Saccharomyces cerevisiae S288C: one gene and its partner. The protein of the gene in region 2 interacts with the protein of the main gene of each other region in a pairwise test. Each region holds a gene or a part of one and is shown on either strand. Other genes may lie near its edges. The genes, in order: PEX9 and MLS1.

The links.
Region 1: the proteins of MLS1 (region 2) and PEX9 interact in a two-hybrid assay, tested with the Saccharomyces cerevisiae proteins (2 studies listed by BioGRID).

The regions. Positions count from the first base shown.
Region 1 is NC_001145.3:303,914-315,795, reverse strand, and holds PEX9 (Pex9p), read right to left. Parts: upstream 5,589-11,882; coding exon 4,044-5,588; downstream 1-4,043. Other genes in the region: FMS1 (polyamine oxidase), read right to left, coding at 1-419; STB4 (Stb4p), read right to left, coding at 791-3,640; SPO20 (Spo20p), read right to left, coding at 7,114-8,307; SOK2 (Sok2p), read left to right, coding at 10,203-11,882.
Region 2 is NC_001146.8:404,358-416,239, reverse strand, and holds MLS1 (malate synthase MLS1), read right to left. Parts: upstream 9,883-11,882; coding exon 8,218-9,882; downstream 1-8,217. Other genes in the region: DEAD-box ATP-dependent RNA helicase DBP2, read right to left, coding at 1-326, 1,329-2,601; DNA-directed RNA polymerase core subunit RPC19, read right to left, coding at 3,041-3,469; YNL115C (uncharacterized protein), read left to right, coding at 4,187-6,121; ubiquitin-conjugating protein DMA2, read right to left, coding at 6,331-7,899; DCP2 (decapping enzyme complex catalytic subunit), read left to right, coding at 10,676-11,882. UniProt on the Saccharomyces cerevisiae protein: Malate synthase which takes part in the glyoxylate cycle. MLS1 activity is essential for cells to grow on oleic acid as a sole carbon source.

The DNA of each region.
Region 1 (11,882 bases), on a different chromosome or scaffold from region 2:
GAGCAATCTGAAACTCCTAAGTGTTGATGGAATTCTAACTCTGCGAATTTGCTCATTTCATTGTCCACAATTTCAAGAAGCAGTTCCTTGTCATGGTCTACCCTTCCACGTTCTTCGTCGATATAAATAAAATTATCGTCATCAAAAACAAACCTCGTTCTCCCATCATTCAAACTCAGTTGAGCCTCTTCCAAAAATAAAGGGTTTGTCAACGTATCATGGTGCCAGCTAGCACCTATATCATATTTCCGACCTTGATAGCCTGTGACAGTTTGCAACCTACCACCGACCCGATCTCTGGCCTCAAGAACAAGACAATCTTGAATACCGTTTTGGTGTAGCGTAGATGCAGCTTTAAGCCCAGCAATACCGGCACCAATTATAATAACCTTTTTTTTGGCTGGTGAAACTGTATTCATTCTCACACGACCACTGTTTTTGCCTTTATTAACTCACTTCTTGTTGGGAACAAAAAAAGAAAAACAGAAATAAAAAACTGCAGCAGAGCAAATTTGAAAATAGTTACCATGGTTTAAAAAAACTCCTCTTTTATATCTTTAGGATACCAAAAATTGTCTATTGTTTAAAAGATCTCATAGCGTGACATCCGTATATGGGTGGGTGACCCGAAATTTGAGCCTCCTTCTTGTAAAACGAGAGTTTGTCATAGCAACGGACCAACATGTGGTAAGGTGAGGTTGACTCAATTTTTTCAACATCTTATATACAATATAATAATATGTAGGTAAACGTGTCCATAAAATGGTTTTATGGAATAGAAAAAGAATCCTTATGCAAAATTTTGGTCAAACCATAATAAATTGGAAAATAAATCATCATCAAACACATTAGGAGAGTTCCCTATTTTACTGACAGTATCAAGAACATCTGAGGGCAATCCAGTATCAGTACCTAGATTTGCTACTGCACTTTCCGGAGAAATTGCGATTGAACCGTCGAAGTTAGTGGTATTATGAGACCTAGTAGCTAATGGTACTCTTTTGCTATTGTTATGTGGATTTTCTTGTCTTTCATCAGCATTTTCTTCTCTTTCACCAGCATCAACTTCAACATCCGCATCATTATCGCCAACTTTCTTGAACTGCTCAAACTTATTTCTATTAGGGGTGTCATCACCATGATCAGTTCCGAGAGTAGCTTCCAATTGCAAAGCAGAATCTCTCAGTCGTATGCAGAACATATGATTCAGCATTTTCAAACACCACAAGCACTCAGGAAGCATTGAAGGCCGATTTTTTGGCTTAGAGCACTCTAAGGTTCGCCATATTTCTTGGCAGCTTTGCATGATAGCTTTATTTTGAGTTACGGCAATCCCTGCGTGCAGGTAGATAATACATATTAAATTTACCGTGAATAGTTGAGAAAGGTTTAACCACCACGGAACAAAGAAAAGATTACTTCTCGTAATTTCAGCCAAATTTTCAATAGCCATTTGACAATGAGAAATTAACAATTCAGTATCGACGACATATTCTAGGGATTTATTATTTGCGGTAGATGAGGGGGCGATTAGACAAAATAATTGTCTTACTTCGAAAGTCAGCCTTATATCCAGGTATGTCATGAATGGTTGAACTTGATAGAAGTAACGATAATTGTCGTCGTACGCATTGGTTTGACTTCCAACTATAAAGGTGTCATACCATTGACCAAGTTGGCTGCGCAATTGCACGGTCTCGTTCAAATTTAAATCCTGTGCGTCTCTTTTTAAAAACTGTGTCACTATTATGGACAAATCAAGCATTTGAAAAGTCTCTTCGTGAAACCAATCATCTTCTTCTTGTAAAAATTTCTTTGACTTCACTAGATTCATCTGTTCGCACATCTCGCTCGCGGGTAATGATAGTTGGTAGAATCGACCCATTTGAAAACTTATCAACTTATCCATTATAAAACAACACCAGAAACAATGCCATGCTTTTGATTCATCATAAGTGGAATGGATCTCAGGAAATTTGTTTAAATATAGACTCATCCCATTACACATGTTCACCGCTTGACTTAACGCGTTCCAGCACGCCGTCTGTCTGTAACAGGTTCTGAAATAGAAGGTTATCAAAAGCCACGATTGTATTAGTTCGAATGATTCCCACTCAAAGGTCAGCGTGTTGATTATTAAATAAGCGTATTTGAATAAATTTTCCTCTATGGAGGGTTTTTTGATCAAAATAGATTTTTCCTCGAATGTGATATTTAAGGATGTGTTACTGTAGGTTCCTTGCCCTTTCTGACCATCTAGATGCCCTTCTCTGAATCTTAGTGTAGTAGACAAAATTAGATAAAGCATGGAAGTGAATAGATTCGCAGATGAATTATTTTGTTTACCTTGCCGTAGAAATTTATTGTTATATTGCTGCCAAAATGTCGCTTCGTGAATGATACTGAAAACAGGATTGATCTCATCAAAATAATACCTTAGTAACTTATTGATTAAGGATAAGTGAACAGGGTCATCAAAGTCGAAAAATTTAGACTCATGCCTTATATTTTTTTCTTGGCTTCTAAAGTCACCCTTATACTTTAAGTAATGGCCTCCTGACAAGTTCCAACCATAGTTTTGAACTCTTGGCCTTTTCAACTTCGCGTACTCTATTGTCTGCGGAGATAGATCCTTTAAAATAGATACACCAAGGTAATAGGGCAGAATATTTTGGTAGCGTCGGTGAAACCTATACTTATCTAAAGAAAATGTCTGCCAGGGTGATTCAAAGTGATCATTAACAGTGTTAGTTATTTGAGAGTTGATTATCTTATTCTCTTTAGAATTGATGTTGTTATTATGAAGAGCCTCTGCAGAGTCACATATTGCAGACCTGTGATTCGTGTCACAGTCTTCCTGACTATTTTTCATGTTGACCACTGTCGGGTTTGCATTCACATCACTAGCATTGGTTCTAGTTGTTCTAATTGACGATTCCTTGGTCGTATTCCCCAATTTTGAACTCAATTGCAGAAGTAATTTAGCCATGTGATCCTCCGGAAAACTGTTATTGTTATTTTCTCCATTTAAGTTGCTTCCGGAATGGAATGTATGGTTTGGCCTACCGCTCATGAAGGGTAAAGTGGATGATATATGATGATAATGTGAATTTGGATTGGGAGAGTTGCTAGCAGACGAAGATACACCATCTGAGGGGGCATTTATGATAATATTTGATTTACTTAACAAGTCCCTAGGAAAAGACTCACTGGTTTCTGCATATGTCTTACTAACGTCCCGAACAGCTGATGCGACCTGTCGTCTTCTTCTTTTACGGTTTGTAGCTTTGAAATCATAACGGCATTCTTTTTGATGTTTAGAGCAGTTCAGACAAGGATTGTTACCGTCGCATTTAACCTTTCTCTTCTTGCAAAGTTCACAAGCTTTTTGAACCCTGAGTCTACCTTTTCCATTTTCTTTACTTGCGGCTGTACTAGTATCAAGTGCATCATCAGTATTCCCGATAGCTGTCATTTCTCTGAACCGTTCCTTTCTATTAGTATGGGCCCATGTCCTATCAATTTGCCGACTTCGTGCTAAAAAAAACTGAAGGAGAACAATCACTACGATGATGAGCTTGATTGCTACTGAACGATGCTCAAATACAAGTATATAATATATTTCATGATTGATACTCATGTTCAGCCGGGTATCTTTTTTCTTTGTTTTGAGAGGCTGACGGTGACTCTTTTAATTTGAACAAGGAAATGTATCATGCACGTATGACAGAGAGAAATAGTAGTACAAAAATCAAATATTACGTGAATACGTGAGATGAATAGCCGATATTAAGTAGATAATGAGAGGTTTCAGACGAAGCACATAGTAAACTCAGAAATATGCACTTGCGCGATAAAGTGAAATTACCTTCATATTCTTGCAAGAGGAACTTATATTTTTGAGAAGAACTAGCATAAGCTTGCTGTGTTTAGTGTTCCTTTACGCAATTAGCTTTTCGAACGTCCAATAGCATATTTGGTTTGTTTCAGCTTTAATTTTTTTTATTTTGAATGCACTATATAGCAAAAAAATTAACTAAAACCTAATCCATTTTGTTATAAATAGCTTTTAAGGTTGATATTAACGATTCTGTATTATGAGAACCATTTATTAGATCAAGTGAATCAAAATTTTTTGAAGCGATGAGAGCATTTTTTAAATTTTGCATAAATTTGTTTTGCATTTTTGCTTTGTTGTGTTCATATCCTTTACTTCGTAACAGTATAACTTCGATTAGCATTTTGCTTGCTTTTACATAGTCACCCTTATTCATGTAGGCGATCGCTAAATTATAACGAACCCTTGTAAAATTCGGTCTTAGTTGTTTGCATTTATTGTACGCATTTATCGCAGAGTGATACGACTTAGTATTGGCCAAAATAGCACCATATCTATTCCATATTGTTCCATTATTGGGCTTTTCCAGTAGTAAAAACTCTAAGCATTTCTGAGATTGCTTTATTTTCTGATCCGAATAATATAAGATTGATAATACTGAATATATATCATACTGATCTTTTTTTTCTATACCCATATTCAACAGGGATTCTAGAATATGCGCCAAATGGGCCTTTTTCGGAATTTTATTAATGCTATCTTTGTTTTCCCCCGCAGAAGGTTGGAAAACCTTCGAAAATTTTGAAAGAATCCATTTGTGAAAAAGTTTCAATGACTCTGATTCATTTTGTTGATTTATATGGTGAATTGCTAAGTTTTCCAATGCAATTGTATTATTTGGATCCAAATTTAAGCAATTTCGCAAAGCAAGCTCTCCATTGCTTTCGCTTTCATTTTCAAAATTAACTATACCTAACTTCAACCATGCATTTATATGGCTTGGATCTTGTGAAATGGCTGCTTCAAAGGCCATTACTACTTCGTTCAAATTGGAACCGTTGTCCATTAGTACACATCCTATTTTATATGGGTCCCGTTCCGTTATGTAGATGTTTGATTTTAGGAATTGATATGTTTGTGGTACGGATGACAGCATATGCATGAAATCAATTGTTTCTTCGTATTCTGCCACATATTCATAACCAACAGTTTTTTCTTCTACATTGTTTTCTATCTTTAGCTCATTTAGTAACTGATTTTCGATTGATTTGAACTGAAATTCCCAGCCATTAGAAACAGATGAGTGTTCATTGTAAGATATTCGACAAGGATATATACGATTTTGCTGATATGCCGTACTATAATATTGTGCAAAGTACCTATTGTGCAAATTAGCGGAGCGTTTCTCATGTTTGTTTCTACTGGGCTTGGTCACATCAGCATTTTTATTCTTGGGGAAACAAGAGAATTCCTTTGACCACTGGTTCTCAAGTCTTGAAAATTCTTTTTCGCTGACACCACTATGTTGAGATTTATCTGCCGGTAGTGCGGCCCGAAAATCTATCTTACCAATACTGCTGCCGGTTTGACAATTGGTAAAGATGTAATCTATTGTTCTAGCATCTCGCGCGGCGCTATCGTTAGTCTGAAAATCAGAGAATTTACCCAGATTATTCCATTTCAAGCCTAATCCATTGTTGATCTTATGAATTGGGTTGTCACCAGTTATGGAACAAGTAACTTCGTTCATCGTGCTTACAAAAGGTACCCTTTATTCTTAATGATTCTCCACTCAAAAAAAAAGAATAAAATAAAATAAAACGGATAAGAGTACGAAAAAAAGTGATGACCTTTTCTTTATTTATTGCCACTGTTTGGGTGAGAATATTGGGGTAAGAGCGCTTTGCCCCAAGTTTTCTGTACGATTTCAATGCGTATCAATCATCCTCTCCGGCGTTAGTAAGGTACTACCAAGGCCTCTACCGTTCCCAGGAAACTCTTCGGGTTTTGTCTGCGCCGCGCCGCTCTGATTGCTTTTCTTTTGGCGGCTATTTAAGTTCCCAGGTGCACATCAAAACCGGCAGGAAGCAAAGTAAATTAAGTTTGCACTTACAAACCCAAATAAGATCTCAATGTATTGCGTGCGCTCATATTCACATATGCGCAGGAACAATCTTGTCATATCTGAATCAGGCTGACGCATCCATGTCGTGTACATTTCTTGTAGGCTTGAAACTTGAACGGTACGAGAAACAAATTGGAAACGAATAAAAAAGTAAGAGAAGGAGGACATCCTCGTCCAAGTTGCGGTATGTATGCGGCAATGAACTACTCCGAAAAAATGCGGAAAAGAGGCATATTTGACCCAAAGCAGTAAAGAGTTTCGTTATATCAACCGTGGCGGGATAGCATTCGGTGGTCTGACAATTAATAGGATGATCGGGCTAGGGCTGGGCTTGTGGAAAAAAGGATAGTAAAAATTTTCTCTAGTAGCATACGATGTGATGCTTCCAATTTTCAGAACATGTTTGTACAATAACTCTATTATTGATTTTTTTTTTTACTAATATCGTTTGTAGGGTAGAATTATTCTTACTAAATATCCTTTTCAACTTAAACATATACGGACGCTTGAGATACACTCTTGTCTTAATCCGCTCGATCTTGGTAAGGGCGTTGTGACGCTTAATATAAAAGGCAAGCGCAGAATATAATTTTTCCGCAGCATAAGCACCCAATCAAGACAATTCTATAGGAATAGTGTGGCATACGCAGTGATTACCGGAAACCCTTCATAATGTTTTCCTTTTTCCCAACAAGATTGAACTTTGATATCGTTTTGTAACTAAAATCTTTTTTGACAAATGAAATTATATGAATTATAACTTATCAACTTTATGAGAAGCAAGTAGACTTGGTACTGTAAAAAATATAGTCCCACGACAGCGGTATCTATCTTTCTTACCCTCTTTTACTTTTCACAAAATCATGTTGATTTTTCAGTTAACCCAGTTTAAGATCATGAATGGAACGGGAAACAAATACGTAACAACTGGGAAAAACAAACCTGCCGATGTTTGAATGCACTTTATTTATGGGAAAGAGAAAGCTTTGTCTGACAACTCCGAAAGAAAATACAAAGAAGAATTGAGACCTTCAGTACTAATGTCCCCCTCGCTCTTTTTTTTTTCTCTTTCGCAAGAATATCTGCGTATGCCTTTTTAGAAACTATTTATTCAATATATTTATACACGATATTTTGTGTGTATAACAGATCACCATCTTTTCCCGATCACTTTCTCCAATCTATATCGCTTGGCCTGTAAAGCATTATCTGCCTGCTGTACATTGTTCTCGATGTCAAACATTCTAGTGTTTTGTGCTTCAAACTCTCTGCCAAAAGCGTGAGCCATAATTTTCAAGTCACCACTCACCGCTTTTATTTGTTCTAGGTTTCCGTACAAGTCGATTTCCATTTGGTTATCTTCTTCATCGGCTTCAAACTGATACTTCTGGGCATCTCTAAGAATACGCTGTCTTTCCACCCCTTGGCCATACCGTCCATATTCAGAACTTAGATTTATGGCTAAATTTTTGTCAGAATCTTGGGCTCTTTTCATAGTTTCTTGCTGTAAGTGACGATGCTTTAACTTCAAATTGTAGATCTGGTCTCGCTTTTCTCTCTCCCTTTTCTTCCTGAAGGGGTTGGGTGATTTTAATGCAAGCAGGCTTCTATTTTCATGGGCAAGTTCGTCAATCTTTCGGTCGGCTACGTTAGATTGAATTTTAAGCATGTCACAATTGCTCTCGATCTTGGTGAGTTGGTTGCTCTGACAACTTAGTTGTTGAAGAACTCTCTTTCCAGTACATCGAGCCTCTATAGCTTTTTCAAGTGTTCTGCTTGTCGTTTTTACAGATTTTAATTTAGTGCTTCTAATCTCGGACCTGAGTCTATCAACTATTTCATCCTCCTCAGGCTGGACATTCTCTAAGTTATATTGACTTTCAACTTTTCTCCACTGTGGATAGTCATTCTCATTTGCAAAATTTCCCAAATCTCTGTGAATAACGCTATCTGTTTCTCCCAAGTTTTCTTCAGGTATTTGGCACCTGTTGGACTTTGGAAAAACCTCTTCTAACGAAATAGTAGCAAGGCCATCCCTTTCGGGCACCTCATAAGAGACGCATTTATCATCACTAGTCTTAGTGGCGTCATCGAACCGACAGTTTGGGTGAAGTTGTTTGTGGATTTTATTCCTCAAGGATTTAAGCTTCACATGTAGCCTATCACGTCTTCTGCTTCCTGAACAATTGTCCATCCTGAAGGGTGATAAATATTTTGTTTCATGGGATCCTGTAATATTGGAAATAAGTACATAGCGATGATTTTGCAACTTCAGGTTCTTATGGTGCTGATTATGGTGGCGACTGTGATGCGATTTGCTAGCAAGTATTTTTCTGAACCCCATTATATATCTAAAAATGGCTATTCACAAACGGAAAAATCTAAAGTAATAAAAAAATAATAGTGTTAACAGAGAAGGTTTATCAGTAGCTAAAGCGAGCAAATTACTGGTTAACTTATCGTATTTTCCGTACTGTGGTGAATCTTATGCAAAATGAACCTGGCTTTGGCGGGAGTTTTTTTTTATGTGACACAATGGCCTTTTGCCGGTGGTAAATACGCGCTTCAAAAAGGTTGTTACACAGCGGCACATTAGCATGACACAATCTTGATCCTTTACAATTACTACACCGCCAAGTATAAAGCTTTTCCCAACCAACGTGTTTGCCAAGTAATTTTGTGTAGAGTGCGGCTGACTAACAGCCTTAACCGGGTACTCTGTTCCCTGCATTTGCATAAAAACTACAAAGAAAAGAAAGAAGGAAATACTCCGAACCAAAGAGATACAACAAGAATACTTCTCTCATTACATCGGCACCTTCCTGGGGATTAATTCCTTACAAGCGCTGAAAAAATGAAGAGATGATTCCGTACTTCAACAATGGCTTTTAACCTTATTACCCCAAGAGAGTGTCTACAGAATTAAGGCCCATTTAATTTTTACCTTCCTGTTCCTGCATAACAGACACCCCTTACCCGCATCAACAGGAGGGGAGGAAACATTGCCAATATGTCTGCGAATTGTGACAACCAATCCGCATGCACGGTGGGGGGCGGTTGAAAGCGCCTAGACTTCCCTTTTTTGGATTGCTACGTCACCTTCGCAGCGTGCACCAGGTGCATTCACCACACGAAAAGATGCGAAAGCACACCAAGCGCGAAATTCCGGTTTTTGGCTTGTTTGTTTCGGGCTCCGCCTCATCGTCTTAGCAAATCTAGACCTTGTTGAAAAATCGTGCAGGGACTCCGTACCTGCACAAGCAACGCGGCATAATACATGTAGGGATACAGCAAAGATATTGTTTCTGAATGGGCAAAACATTGCTTTCCGCAAACGGCTTTTTCTTCTCTTTCCCACCACCGTGGGTCACCTTTTTCTTGCGCCTCTTATGCCAACACACTCTTCCCGTGATGCGAATGGTAAAGAAGTTAACAAAAAACACAAAAAATTCATATTCCGATTTCTCTGCAAAGAAGCCTGAGCGGGAACTGCATGTCCGCTTGACTTGTCTTCCCTCCGGTTAGCTGTGCCTGCAGGGAAACCGCAGTAGAAGGACTGCGGAAGGATCTTTTCCCGCCGTTGATGTAATCTTTAAAGTTAATTTTTCCCTCACACAGTTTGCATTTTTCCCGCATGTTGTCCGGTTTTTCTTTCTTTTGTTGCTTTTTCTTCCGTGGGCCTGACGGAACATTCCAAGTTGAGTGCGATCTGACTAAGGAACTAGTAGAGGCTACCGCTCAGTAAGTTTAACAGTCGGCTAAGCATCGATCATCTCATTCTTTGCCTTCACTCAGTTCTTCGCAATAGTACAGTGCTGCGCAATAGACGCACGTATCAGTGATGTATTCTTTCTCTTGTCTTCACATAAAAAGTACGTAGATGTGTTGCCCGTTTGTGTTTTATTAACTTATCGAATGTGGCAAGCCGACGATACAAAAGAAAAAAGTTCATCTTTAACACTTCTTTTTGTTAGTTTTTGAAGTTTTTCCCCACTATCTTTTGCATTAGTTGTGTGTGCCTGTGCGTGTGTAAGCCTTCTAGTATAGTTGATAATCCTTTTCCATAGCTTTTTATATTGCAAGCAGAGAGATATCATTTTGTGCTGTTTTCATTAAACATACTTCACAATTGTATAAAAAAAAAAAACCTTTTTGATCTTTGTTTTCAGAAATTGAAAGTGGATTTGTTAAGCACAGTACAAAATCATCCTTATATAACCCTGGTAAGGTCCTTTTGTCATGCCCATCGGTAACCCAATCAATACGAATGATATCAAGTCCAACCGCATGCGCCAGGAATCAAATATGAGTGCCGTGAGCAATAGCGAAAGTACTATTGGCCAGTCCACCCAACAGCAGCAGCAACAACAACAATATCTCGGCCAGAGCGTTCAACCTCTGATGCCCGTATCCTACCAATACGTAGTTCCTGAACAGTGGCCGTACCCGCAATATTATCAGCAGCCGCAATCCCAGTCTCAACAGCAACTGCAATCCCAGCCTCAGATGTATCAAGTTCAAGAATCCTTTCAGAGTAGCGGTTCTGACTCAAATGCTTCCAATCCACCTTCCACGTCTGTAGGTGTTCCTTCCAACGCTACTGCAACTGCGTTACCGAATGGTTCTGCAATCACCACCAAAAAAAGCAATAACAGTACTAATATCAGTAACAATGTACCATACTACTATTATTTTCCCCAAATGCAAGCCCAACAATCAATGGCATATTCGTATCCACAAGCGTATTATTATTATCCTGCAAACGGCGATGGAACCACTAACGGTGCAACACCATCTGTAACCAGTAATCAAGTCCAAAACCCCAATTTGGAAAAAACCTACTCAACCTTTGAACAACAGCAACAACACCAGCAGCAACAACAATTACAAGCTCAAACGTATCCGGCCCAACCACCAAAGATAGGTAATGCATTTTCAAAGTTCAGTAAATCTGGACCACCTTCTGATTCGTCCAGTGGCTCTATGTCTCCCAATTCTAATCGCACTAGTCGCAATAGTAATAGTATCTCGTCCTTAGCTCAGCAGCCTCCAATGTCAAACTATCCACAACCTTCCACCTACCAATACCCCGGTTTTCACAAGACTTCGTCAATTCCAAACTCGCATTCTCCAATTCCTCCAAGATCATTAACAACGCCAACTCAAGGTCCAACCAGCCAAAATGGACCTTTAAGCTACAATCTTCCGCAAGTGGGTTTGCTACCGCCTCAGCAACAACAACAGGTGAGCCCGTTGTATGATGGAAATTCTATAACTCCACCAGTTAAACCCTCTACTGATCAAGAAACTTATTTAACTGCAAATAGGCACGGAGTGTCAGATCAACAGTATGACTCAATGGCTAAAACCATGAATTCTTTCCAAACAACTACCATAAGGCACCCGATGCCCTTAATCGCCACTACCAATGCCACAGGCAGTAACACCAGCGGCACTTCGGCAAGTATAATAAGGCCAAGAGTAACAACAACAATGTGGGAGGATGAAAAAACGCTATGTTATCAGGTAGAAGCTAACGGTATTTCAGTGGTAAGAAGAGCAGATAATGATATGGTTAATGGTACCAAACTTCTGAATGTAACTAAGATGACAAGAGGTAGAAGAGATGGTATTCTAAAAGCGGAAAAAATCAGGCATGTGGTGAAGATTGGTTCCATGCATTTGAAGGGTGTCTGGATACCGTTTGAGCGTGCCCTAGCAATAGCACAAAGAGAAAAAATTGCTGACTATCTTTATCCCTTGTTCATCAGGGATATTCAGAGCGTATTGAAACAAAATAATCCAAGCAATGATAGCAGTAGTAGTAGCAGTAGCACTGGTATTAAATCCATCAGTCCGCGTACCTATTATCAACCTATTAACAACTATCAAAATCCTAATGGTCCTTCAAATATATCT
Region 2 (11,882 bases):
CTGCCTGTTACCGCCGTAACCACCACGGCCACCACCGTAACCACCTCTACGGCCATAGCCACCACGACCACCACGACCACCACCGTATCTTGGGTGACCGCCACCATAAGATCTCCTGTCGTATTTCAATAATTCGGGAGGAATATTTTGATTAGCTTCTCTCATGATAGAGATTAATTTAGCACCTAAACCTTTGTTTTGTTCGGTGAAGAAAGATATAGCAGTACCAGTAGCACCTGCTCTACCAGTTCTACCGATTCTGTGAACATAATCTTCAATGTTACCTGGCATATCGTAGTTGATAACGTAATTGATACCTTTGACATCTGAAAAAATAAAGAAGTAAACAAACGTTTACAAAGCATACTGTTAGTAATTTGGTTCGTTATTCTGTATATGAACTTTATTTTCATGCCCCCCACAAATTCATGTTTGGACTCCCAACATTGTCTCAAATTTCCCCCTGGCTTGAAGATTATCAGAAATTATATTTTTATTAAAGAATTCGAAATATTTAATCATCAATACTCCAGAATCCTTATTCAAACTGAATGAAAGCTAGCACTTAAAAAAAGGAAAACAAAGTAAATGATTTCTGAATATGGTTGAAATCCTTTTATTTTGTTATTTTCCATTTTTATCAGCACTTCTTAATAATTCGAACTTGGGATGCAACAGTATCTCAATATAACTACAAAATGCATAAACTACACAAAATGAGAATAACAATAGTCAAGAAGGATGACGGCATTTCAAAGTAGAATATACTATTATTTTTCCAATAAAACAATCTACCCTTGTACAAATGCCAAGCATTGAAAAAAACAACGATCAACGAAGCGTATGTATGCGTTCTAGAAATAAGCTGAAAAGCCAATTCCTTGTTTATTTGCGCCGATGTCAAAAAGCGAAATTTCTTTTGACATGAAGTGCAAATCATGAACACAAATACACTTCTCCGAGTTTATAATTTCCCGTCTCTCAAAACGACTAATTAAAGTCAATTTTTCTCATCCTCCCAATATTAGTTTTCTGTAGTGATGCATTAGAAGTCATTCGAATTAAAATTCAATTTCCGATACTCCCCATCGAGAATAGACTCACATAGAGTCTAGATTCGAAAAGGCTCAAAAAAAAAAAAAAGAAAAAAAGAAAAAAAAAAAAAAAAGAAAAAAAAAAAAAAAAGAAAAAAGGTCTCTCTTCTGTACTATCATGGTTGTCATAAAGTCATTAATGTCATTAAAAGCCATTAGGAAATAGCTGTAATATCGTTAGGGGTAACAAAAAAAAATAAAATCAATAAAAAAATGGAGAAAATTTTAACATACCGATACCTCTGGCGGCCACATCAGTAGCAACCATAATTGGGGATCTACCGTTTCTAAACTCTTGTAGAACCCAGTCACGTTCTCTTTGGTCTTTGTCACCATGAATAGCCAAGGCGGGCCATCCATCTTCTCTTAGATACTTGGTGATATCATCGCACATTCTTTTCGTAGAAGCAAAGATTAATGTCTTGTATTCGTTGTCTTGAGAGGCTGTTTCTAAGTACTTGTTCAAACGATCTCTCTTTTCGAAATCAGAAACAACTTCGACGATCTGAGTAATATTATGGGAGGCAGATAGTTCTAGAGAACCAACTTGAACTTGAATTGGATCATTCAAGTAATCAGCGGCTAGTTGCTTCACCTCCTTTGGCCAAGTGGCAGACCACATCAAGGTTTGTCTATCAGGTCTGATTTGATCAACAATCTTTCTGATTTGAGGTTCAAAACCCATATCTAACATTCTATCAGCTTCATCAAGAACCAGGTAAGTGACTCTCTTCAAATTAGTCTTACCAATCTCTAGCATATCAATTAGTCGACCTGGAGTAGCAATAACAATTTCAGAGCCACGAGATAAATCTCTGATTTGTTGACTTTTTGGAACACCACCGTAGACACAGGTATTTCTGATTCTGGAACTATGACCAAACTTGGAACATTCTGTTTGAATTTGAACAGCCAATTCTCTAGTTGGAGCCAAAACCAAAACAATTGGTCCATCGCCTGGAGCCAATAATGGTTGAGCGTTGATATGAACAATACCTGGTAAACAATAAGACAAAGTCTTACCGGAACCAGTGGCAGCAATACCAACCATGTCCCTACCAGATAAAGCCATTGGCCAACCCTGACATTGAATGCCAGTTGGTTTGTCAAATCCTTCAGCCTTCACTTCATTCAAAACGTAGTCTGGGAAACCAGCTTCATCGAAAGTGGTGATTGGCTTTGGAATATCGTGTCCGGAAATAGTCATTTCATTTTCCTTTCTGAACTGAGCAATCTCACTGTCCGATCTGTCGCGAACACTTTCGTGTTCAACATAGAAATTCTTTTCGAAAGTTGGCAATTTGGGTAATTCTTCATCCCAGTTTGGTTTGATCAATTCCTGGGGTTGGTTGTAATTGGAACGACCACCGAAACCACCACGGTAGTTACCGCCTTGTGGTCTGTCATTGTAAGAGTTTCTATCAGAGTTTCTTCCACCGCGGAAGTCGCCACCTCTAGACTTGTAGTTAGTCTTGTTATATTGCTGATCTCTACCACCGTAAGTCATATTTGCTCTAAATTTGCCTTAATAGTGCTTAATTCTGTTACAGGTTGTTGACAAGAAAATAATTTGAATGAGATACAGAAAAGTATAAGTTATTTGAGCGTAGGACAGTCTTTTTATAAGACAAATAAACTGAAGGAAAAATTTTCTGCGATGAGCATCGGCGTAAAAAAAAAAAAAAAAAAAAAAAAAAGAAATAAAAAAAGAAATAAATTTTTCAATCATTCAATACGGAATACGCCTTTAAAAAGGAATTTCGAATTCTCAACATTATTAGCACCTTGTACGAAGGTGTATTTTTATCTGGTTATATTATACATAGATTTTAAATAGCACGACTATAAACGGGATACACAAATCAAGCTGTATCTATACTAGCGTGGTGTGCATAATTATTAGAAATTTCAGAGTGACAGAGGGTCTTTGAGTCGATCCGTAACATCTACATGCTCTTGATTTTTTCAGTAAACTTAGATTCTACAACGTCACATAAATCCATCAAGTCCTTTAGCCCTTTTTGAAGAGCATCCACCGCGGTCGTTTCACCGTAGGTTTGAATTCTGATATTTAATAGGTTTTCAGAAGGATGAGGTATCGAGTAACCACAAAATTCTACGTCTGGATTTTTCATTATAACGTAACGAAGGGCATTTCCAAGCGTGTGATCCTCCTCTACAATTTGAAAAGAGGCACTAGTTCCATCTTCAGATGTTGCCTGTGTGAGAAGCTTAATTTTTTCCCTGTCTGGTTCCTCTTCCTGTTCTTCATCGCCAGTCATATCAACATCCTGTTCTTCTTCTTCTTGGATGTGCTTTGGTTCTTGTGGTGTTACCTCTGTAGCGGTCTTTTTTTGTTCGATGTCTTCAGTCATTTGCCTGGTACTTTATGTGAAGTTCAATTTTTCCGACTTTGGATTGATGGCCTTTCCCCAATTCGTTACTTTATACCTCAGCATTAGTATGGTTTTCTTTTGAAATTTTTTTTTTTTCCAGCTCATCGCAGGTGAATATTTCTATCACTTGTTACGTTTACCATTACCCGGATTGAAGTAAATATGATTCACCCCAATAAAGCTGTACAGAAGAGATAAGATGTAGCTTTATTAGAACAAAGTTTATCACGTTGTTGGTACTTAGAATAATCTATGATATTGTTGCGTCTTTTTGAATAAGCTTTCTTGCGTGCCGTTTTTTTCGGTTTTTTTTTATATTTCTGCCCAAAAAACGTAGTTCAAAGAAAAGGAACTATCCCAAAATAGAAGCAAGTTATGTTTAAGGAATTAAAAAATGTACCTATAAAGCACGTTTTTCTGATATGTATATGCCTATGTAATGTAGAAGTTGTCGAATCAGCAATCGTATTGGTCAACCTTGATGGCATGTTCTCAGCACGTTTTGAAGTGGCTATGCATATATAGTGTTCTTTAATCTATTCCTTGCAAGGCTATTCGGACCCCTAATTTTAACCATCGTGCAGTTTAAAGGGATGAGAGAAAAACTAAAAGTTAGATGCCTTGCTATATTCTATAAGGAGGAAAGGAAAGGAAAGCCATTGAAGAAAGAACTGTAGGCATCAGAGCGAACAGATCATGAAGGCTAATGGTTTAGATAATGATCCGGCAAGGACGGGAATGGAAAGAACAGATATAGATAGTGAACACCCAGAAGCGCAACCGTTGCTGAACAACAACCACCGGACCCTTGGTGCAGGATCCGCGAATGGCCCAGCAGTTAATGAAGGTCGTGACATTGAATCCGATGGGTTCATCAAAGATAGTCTCTTTCAAATTCGCAAAGGTTATAGAATCTTTATTCATAACTCCAAATGGATATTAAATATCCTAATTCTAATTAACACCATCTGGCTAGTCACCACTTTGATTTCAGATTTCTTTTTCAATATCAATATTCTTTTCGGATTCAGTAACAGGTACGCAAGTTTTAACGACTTGACTTTAATATTCATCTCGATCATAGCTAATTCTTTCAATCTCTGGTTTAATAAGCTGGGACTGTACTCAGCTTTAGATTACAGCTTAAATGTAACTCTCTGTGTTTTGACGTTGTTCAATCTAGCATTGACCTATCTAATTAAATACACTAGGCAAAGAATCGGCTTTGTGGGCACGTTTACATATTTGTGGACTTCGTTTTCATTTTTTATTGGGGCAATATTAGATTGGTATCTCTTGTTTTACAACAACTCAATAAATGAGCCATTGGAGGAACGCAGAATTGATGATGCTAATATTAGTACTTTCAACGAAAACCATACAAATAGTACCGAAAACAGGGACAGAAGCCAATATGGCTCTGGGTCGCCAACCCCCACCCACCGCTCGCAGCTGGTCCAAAACAAACATACATTGACAGAATGGGTATCCATTGGGTTCAGGAATACTATTAAGTTTTTAATTTTAATATTCTTCGCTTTATTCACCCTGAATACACTTTTAACGACATTGGATACCTACAGATTGACTCACAAATTACCAATAACCGTTCAGTCGCCCTCGTACGAGGCGTTCCATTACGTAGATGCCGCTAAAACCTATCAGTTGCATATAACTTGTTATGGTGACGTATTTGATCAAGAAAACAACACAGATTTGTCTGAAAATAAGAAGCAACCTATCATCTTGTTTGAACACGGAGGTTATGATACTGGTTACCTTTCTGCCACCTGGATTGAGGAACTATATCATTTAGACAAAATTCAAAGATATTGTCTATACGATAGACCAGGGTACGGGTTGAGCGATTCTCCTCCCGCCCCAATCTCTATTGCGATGGTTGCGGAATCTTTAAGGTACGCATTGATCAAAGATGCAAAAATTAAAGGTCCCTTCACTACAGTAGGATACGACCTTGGCGGGCTATTTACAAGAGTATTTACCGCCAAGAATGTCGATATTGTGGATAGCATGATGCTTGTTGAATCATGGCATGAAGAACTATTGTTAAAAAACTACATTCAAAGATTACTACCTCCAGGCCGTGGTGATGGCGACGATGGCGACGATGGCAATGGTAATGATGGGGATGGCCGCAACCATGATAAGACTTGGTTACCTTCGGAGATAGAAAGGCATAACGAATTTAGATTATGGTGGAAAGGCATTTGGTCGAGTTTAGGATGGAGATTACAGACTTCATGGTTACTAGCTCATCATGGGTCTAAAGAACGTATATATGGGCGTGATATGAAATATCAAGGACGTTTCTTGCGTTCCAAGTTTTTGGAAAGCGTGACGAGTTCAATTCTAAGTTACAGAGATGTGACAAACAATGCAGAATCTTTGCAAAATGTGAAGACAAGCATCGTTAGCTCTAAGGAAATGGTGAAGAAGTCGGCATTATGGGGCGATTGGCAAAGAGATTTGACCAAAATTTCTCACAAGACTCAAGAATGGAAAATAGTTGAAGGTGGGCATGAAATATATAAGTATGGTCTGGGCAAACAACAAACTCAAGAAGTCCTATTAAGATTAATAGGTGAGCTTGGCAAACTAACCGAGGATTAACCGAGTTCTTTACTTTTTTTTTAGTTTTATATGTGAAAGCAAAATTGACTGCCAACGATGGAGGTATTGTATTCCTGAAAACAATAAGTCAAATATGTAAACGGCGCAAATATATAAATACTAAGAGAATAATTAAAATAATATTAAGGTACGAGATGTGGAGTTCGGTGGTTTTTCTTTATTTTTCAAACTGTGTATTTTCTTTGACCTTAAGGATGGCTATCAACATCCTTTGAAGTTTCCATTAAGACGCTAAGTTGATCCACCAGTTGATCACCTTCACTTTCCACATCACTTTCATCTTCCTCGTCACTACTTTCAAAGGAGGCCTCCAAATCACAACTTGATCTACAGTTGGGGCAAACAAATTGCGGATATGAGAGCATGACCAATCTTCTTACACAACGGAAATGCCAGCTATGTGCGCATGGTGATATGAAAATTGCTTGACACGGTTTGATCTTACATAGGCAAATCGAACAATCTTCTTCTTCAATACCTGTAGTTAATTTTTGTAAATTCTGCAAACGCTGTAAAGCTTCTTTGTTGAACGAATTTGCCTTTAGTTTCCATGATCTATTTAGCTCAATCCTCATCCTTACACAACGATAGATTTCTTCCGTGCCACCTCTAAAATCCATTCCTAACTGTAAAATATCACCATCACGAAGAGGGGTATCTTTCGATAAAGAGGAAGCGGGTGAGAGCCTTTGGTGATTTAAGAAAGTTCCACTAGATGATTTCACATCCTTTATATACCAGTTACCTTGAGAGTCAACTTTAAAACAACCATGTGTCCTTGAAACAACTTTGGATTTAAATACAACTGGATGATATTGTTCAGGTATTTTAGAAATTGCATCGCGAACACGCTCAGTATAGCGGCCAATAACCAATTGGGATCCAGGGCCAGCCTTTCTTATAATCGGTTCAAAGAATAAACCTTGATTTGTCGTGGACGAACTATCAATAAATGGGGTTAGTCTTATACTAAAAAGACCATGCTTATCTTTCCTTTGCTTCAAAGTGACCTCATCTACATTGAACATATTGTTTGACTCCTCTGCACTTGTTGCAGGTAAATCCAAATGTAAAATTTCGGTCCCATTTGGCTGGTTTGCAGCATATATCAAGTGACGTAAATTCTTATACATTTCCTGACTGTTGTTAACAATAGTAGATCCATCTGCACCACCGACTATATTTCTCGTTGTAGCCGCTGGCGCCATGGAAATTATCGAGGTTGTGGTATTGTTAGTACCGTTAGGCTGCCGCTGATTCAAAGACTCTTGAACGTTACCAACATTGTTGCCTTCGAAATTATGCGCAGATGATTGCTGGTGGTCTGTGGTTGTAGGGGCAGTGAGAGATATGGAGATGGGGAGTTGATAGTTGCGATGAACGTGGAACTGGGCCGACAGAGGCATTTGTATAGGATGATGCAGACGTGGTTCCTGCTGTTGCGGAGCGGTATCGATACTTTCCATGGCCACACTCATATGTGAGTTAGATGGGGTTGTGCCGAATAGACGCTGATCAGGAGCCGCAGAAGAAGAAGCTGTCTGGCTATTTTGCCTAATTCCGAAGGTATTCAAAAACGAACTGATACCCGACGCCGGACGAGCCCGCTCATTGGATGGAGTACCACTGGCTCTGTTCCTTGGGTTTATGCCACTACTGCTAGTGGTGTTGGCATTTGATGCGGATGAAGAGTTGGACGTCATCGATGAAGTTGGTGCAGTGGGAGCAGGGGTATTAGCAGGGATAGGCGTGTACATTTCCACGGTATATCCTTTGCTGAAAGCTTCAAACGTATACAATGCGTTGCTATACTTTCTCGACTTCTTTTCAAATCAAAATATATGCCCACGTTTGGAGTCATCAAGTATTGTGTTTGAAATTCCACAACAATGGTTGATGCCTTCGCCGTCGACCGTGATACATTAATCTGGCCAAAACAAAAAAAGGAATCATGATAAGATGATTCATTGCTAACTACGAAACGAAGCAATATAAAGATAAGTTTTTGGATTCCGATACATAATCATATAGGCATGAATATATTTTTATATATGTGTACACTGGGGCAAGGGAGATCACAATTTGCTCAAATCAGTGGGCGTCGCCTTAGTGGACACAATTTCGTCGTACAACAATGTAGTCAAAAATTCACTGAATTTCTCGCCTCTGATTTCTGGCAAGAAATACTTAGCGGCCAGCGCGAATTTGTTCTTGTCACCCAATGGACTTGCCTTAGACAGTCTTTCCACTTGTTCTTTTAGAATCTTTTCGGTTAATTCTGGGGTGACCTTTTCTCCCGTGTCCTTTAGAGTAACACCGTGTTTCACCCATTGATACAATTGACAACGAGACACTTCAGCAGTGGCGGCGTCTTCCATCAAGTTGTTGATGGGCACACATCCAGAGCCTCTGAGCCAAGCTTCCATGTACTGCAACCCGATATCCAAGTTTTGTACAATTCCCTCGGTAGTAATCTCACCATTTGGAATTTTGGTTTCCAGCAGATTAGCAGCCGTTACAACGTTTTCAGGAATGAAATAGATTTGGTTTGGTGTTCCCATATTAATGAAAACTTCATTACAAATAGGGGCCAGTGCTGGGTGTGCAACCCATGACCCATCATGTCCATTTGTCAGCTCTCTAATCTTATCATTACGGACTTTAGTCATGGCCTTTTCATTGGCTGCCGGGTCGTCTTTGATAGGGATTTGCGCAGCCATACCACCCATGGCATGAACACCCCTCCGATGACAGGTATTGATTAATCTTTTCACGTATGCATCCATGAATGGGGAAGTCATAGTCACTTGATTTCTATTGGGCAAAATGTGATTAGGATCATTTCTTAATCTCTTGATTGTAGAGAAAATATAGTCCCAACGTCCGCAATTCAACCCACTAGAATGTTGTCTTAATTGATAGATGATCTCTTCCATTTGGAAAGCAGCAGGCAAAGTTTCAATCAACACAGTAGCTCTGATTGTACCCCTTGGGATCCCAATGTAATCTTGAGCTACACAGAAGACGTCGTTCCATAGTTTAGCTTCCAAGTGGTGCTCCATCTTTGGCAAATAGAAGTAAGGACCTTTGCCCAATTTGATTAATTCTTTGGCATTATGGTAGAAATATAAACCAAAATCAAAGATGGAAGCGCTGATTGGTTCATCATCTACATAAAGGTGCTTTTCCACCATGTGCCAACCACGGGGTCTCACGATAATAGTGGGCAAGTTGGCCACATTTCCATTCAATTTGTACGATTTTCTTGGTGTGTCAAAATCGATTTGATTTCTGATCGCGTCGTAGAGATTAACTTGACCGTAAACCATGTTGTTCCAAGTAGGTGAAGCTGAATCTTCAAAATCAGTCATATAGGTGTTCACAGGAGCATTCAAAGCGTTGATCAGCATATTTCTCAATGGAGGCCCTGTGATTTCCGTTGACCTATTAATTAACCCCGGTGCCAAAATTGGACCTTGCCAAGTGGGATCATTTCTAATATTTGCAGTTTCAGGCAGGAAATCCAGATGATAGGAGCCCGAGTCTAATTTCTTCTGAACAACTTGTCTGTTTTCCAATAATTGTTTTCTCTTGTTGTTGAAAGTTCTGTGTAAAAGAACAATGAACTCTAGAGCATCCTTGGTAAGAATATCTCCCACTGTAGTACTAGATGGTTTAAAGAAAGGCTCCTTATCAACATCCACCAGTAATTTGACGTTATCCAAACTGACCTTAACCATTTTCTTAATTCTTTTATGTGCTTTTACTACTTTGTTTAGTTCAAAACAATAGTCGTTATTCTTAGGTACTATAGCATAAGACAAGAAAAGAAAAATAAGGGACAAATAACATTAGCAGAAGTACGGTATATTTTACTGTTACTTATATACTTTCAAGAAGATGAGTTAAATCGGTAGCCAGTGTAGAAAAATAATAATAAGGGTCATCGATCCTTCGCATTTTATTATCCAATTAAAGATACGAATCACGGCAAACTATATTCAAAGCTCATAGATAATCGTCGTAAGGCTGACACTGCAGAAGAAAAGTCATAATTTGAATACTAGCCGGTATGAAACTGTGATTGATTAACCTGGGGTTACCTAAAGAGAACATAAGTAATACTCATGACAGAATCAAAACACAATACAAAATTTATCCGAACCTCGGCCCGACTGCCGGCTCGCCGGGAAAGGGGACAACCGCTTCTATCCGTCGACTAACTTCATCGGCCCAATGGAAGCTATGATATGGGGATTTCCATTGAGCCGATAGCAATGTAGGGTAATACTGTTGCGTATATAGTGATAGTTATTGAATTTTATTACCCTGCGGGAATATTGAGACATCACTAAGCACGAATTTTACGTCTGAGGAAAGTTGAATGATGGCAAAATAACCAGGAAAAACAAATATTGAATCCTTGTGAAGGATTCCACAGTTGTTTAATCCTCCTTAAGCTCACTTAGTATCAATTGTCTAAATAATATTGCTTTGAATCTGAAAAAAATAAAAGTACCTTCGCATTAGACAATGTCACTGCCGCTACGACACGCATTGGAGAACGTTACTTCTGTTGATAGAATTTTAGAGGACTTATTAGTACGTTTTATTATAAATTGTCCGAATGAAGATTTATCGAGTGTCGAGAGAGAGTTATTTCATTTTGAAGAAGCCTCATGGTTTTACACGGATTTCATCAAATTGATGAATCCAACTTTACCCTCCCTAAAGATTAAATCATTTGCTCAATTGATCATAAAACTATGTCCTCTGGTTTGGAAATGGGACATAAGAGTGGATGAGGCACTCCAGCAATTCTCCAAGTATAAGAAAAGTATACCGGTGAGGGGCGCTGCCATATTTAACGAGAACCTGAGTAAAATTTTATTGGTACAGGGTACTGAATCGGATTCTTGGTCATTCCCAAGGGGGAAGATATCTAAAGATGAAAATGACATAGATTGTTGCATTAGAGAAGTGAAAGAAGAAATTGGTTTCGATTTGACGGACTATATTGACGACAACCAATTCATTGAAAGAAATATTCAAGGTAAAAATTACAAAATATTTTTGATATCTGGTGTTTCAGAAGTCTTCAATTTTAAACCTCAAGTTAGAAATGAAATTGATAAGATAGAATGGTTCGATTTTAAGAAAATTTCTAAAACAATGTACAAATCAAATATCAAGTATTATCTGATTAATTCCATGATGAGACCCTTATCAATGTGGTTAAGGCATCAGAGGCAAATAAAAAATGAAGATCAATTGAAATCCTATGCGGAAGAACAATTGAAATTGTTGTTGGGTATCACTAAGGAGGAGCAGATTGATCCCGGTAGAGAGTTGCTGAATATGTTACATACTGCAGTGCAAGCTAACAGTAATAATAATGCGGTCTCCAACGGACAGGTACCCTCGAGCCAAGAGCTTCAGCATTTGAAAGAGCAATCAGGAGAACACAACCAACAGAAGGATCAGCAGTCATCGTTTTCTTCTCAACAACAACCTTCAATATTTCCATCTCTTTCTGAACCGTTTGCTAACAATAAGAATGTTATACCACCTACTATGCCAATGGCTAACGTATTCATGTCAAATCCTCAATTGTTTGCGACAATGAATGGCCAGCCTTTTGCACCTTTCCCATTTATGTTACCATTAACTAACAATAGTAATAGCGCTAACCCTATTCCAACTCCGGTCCCCCCTAATTTTAATGCTCCTCCGAATCCGA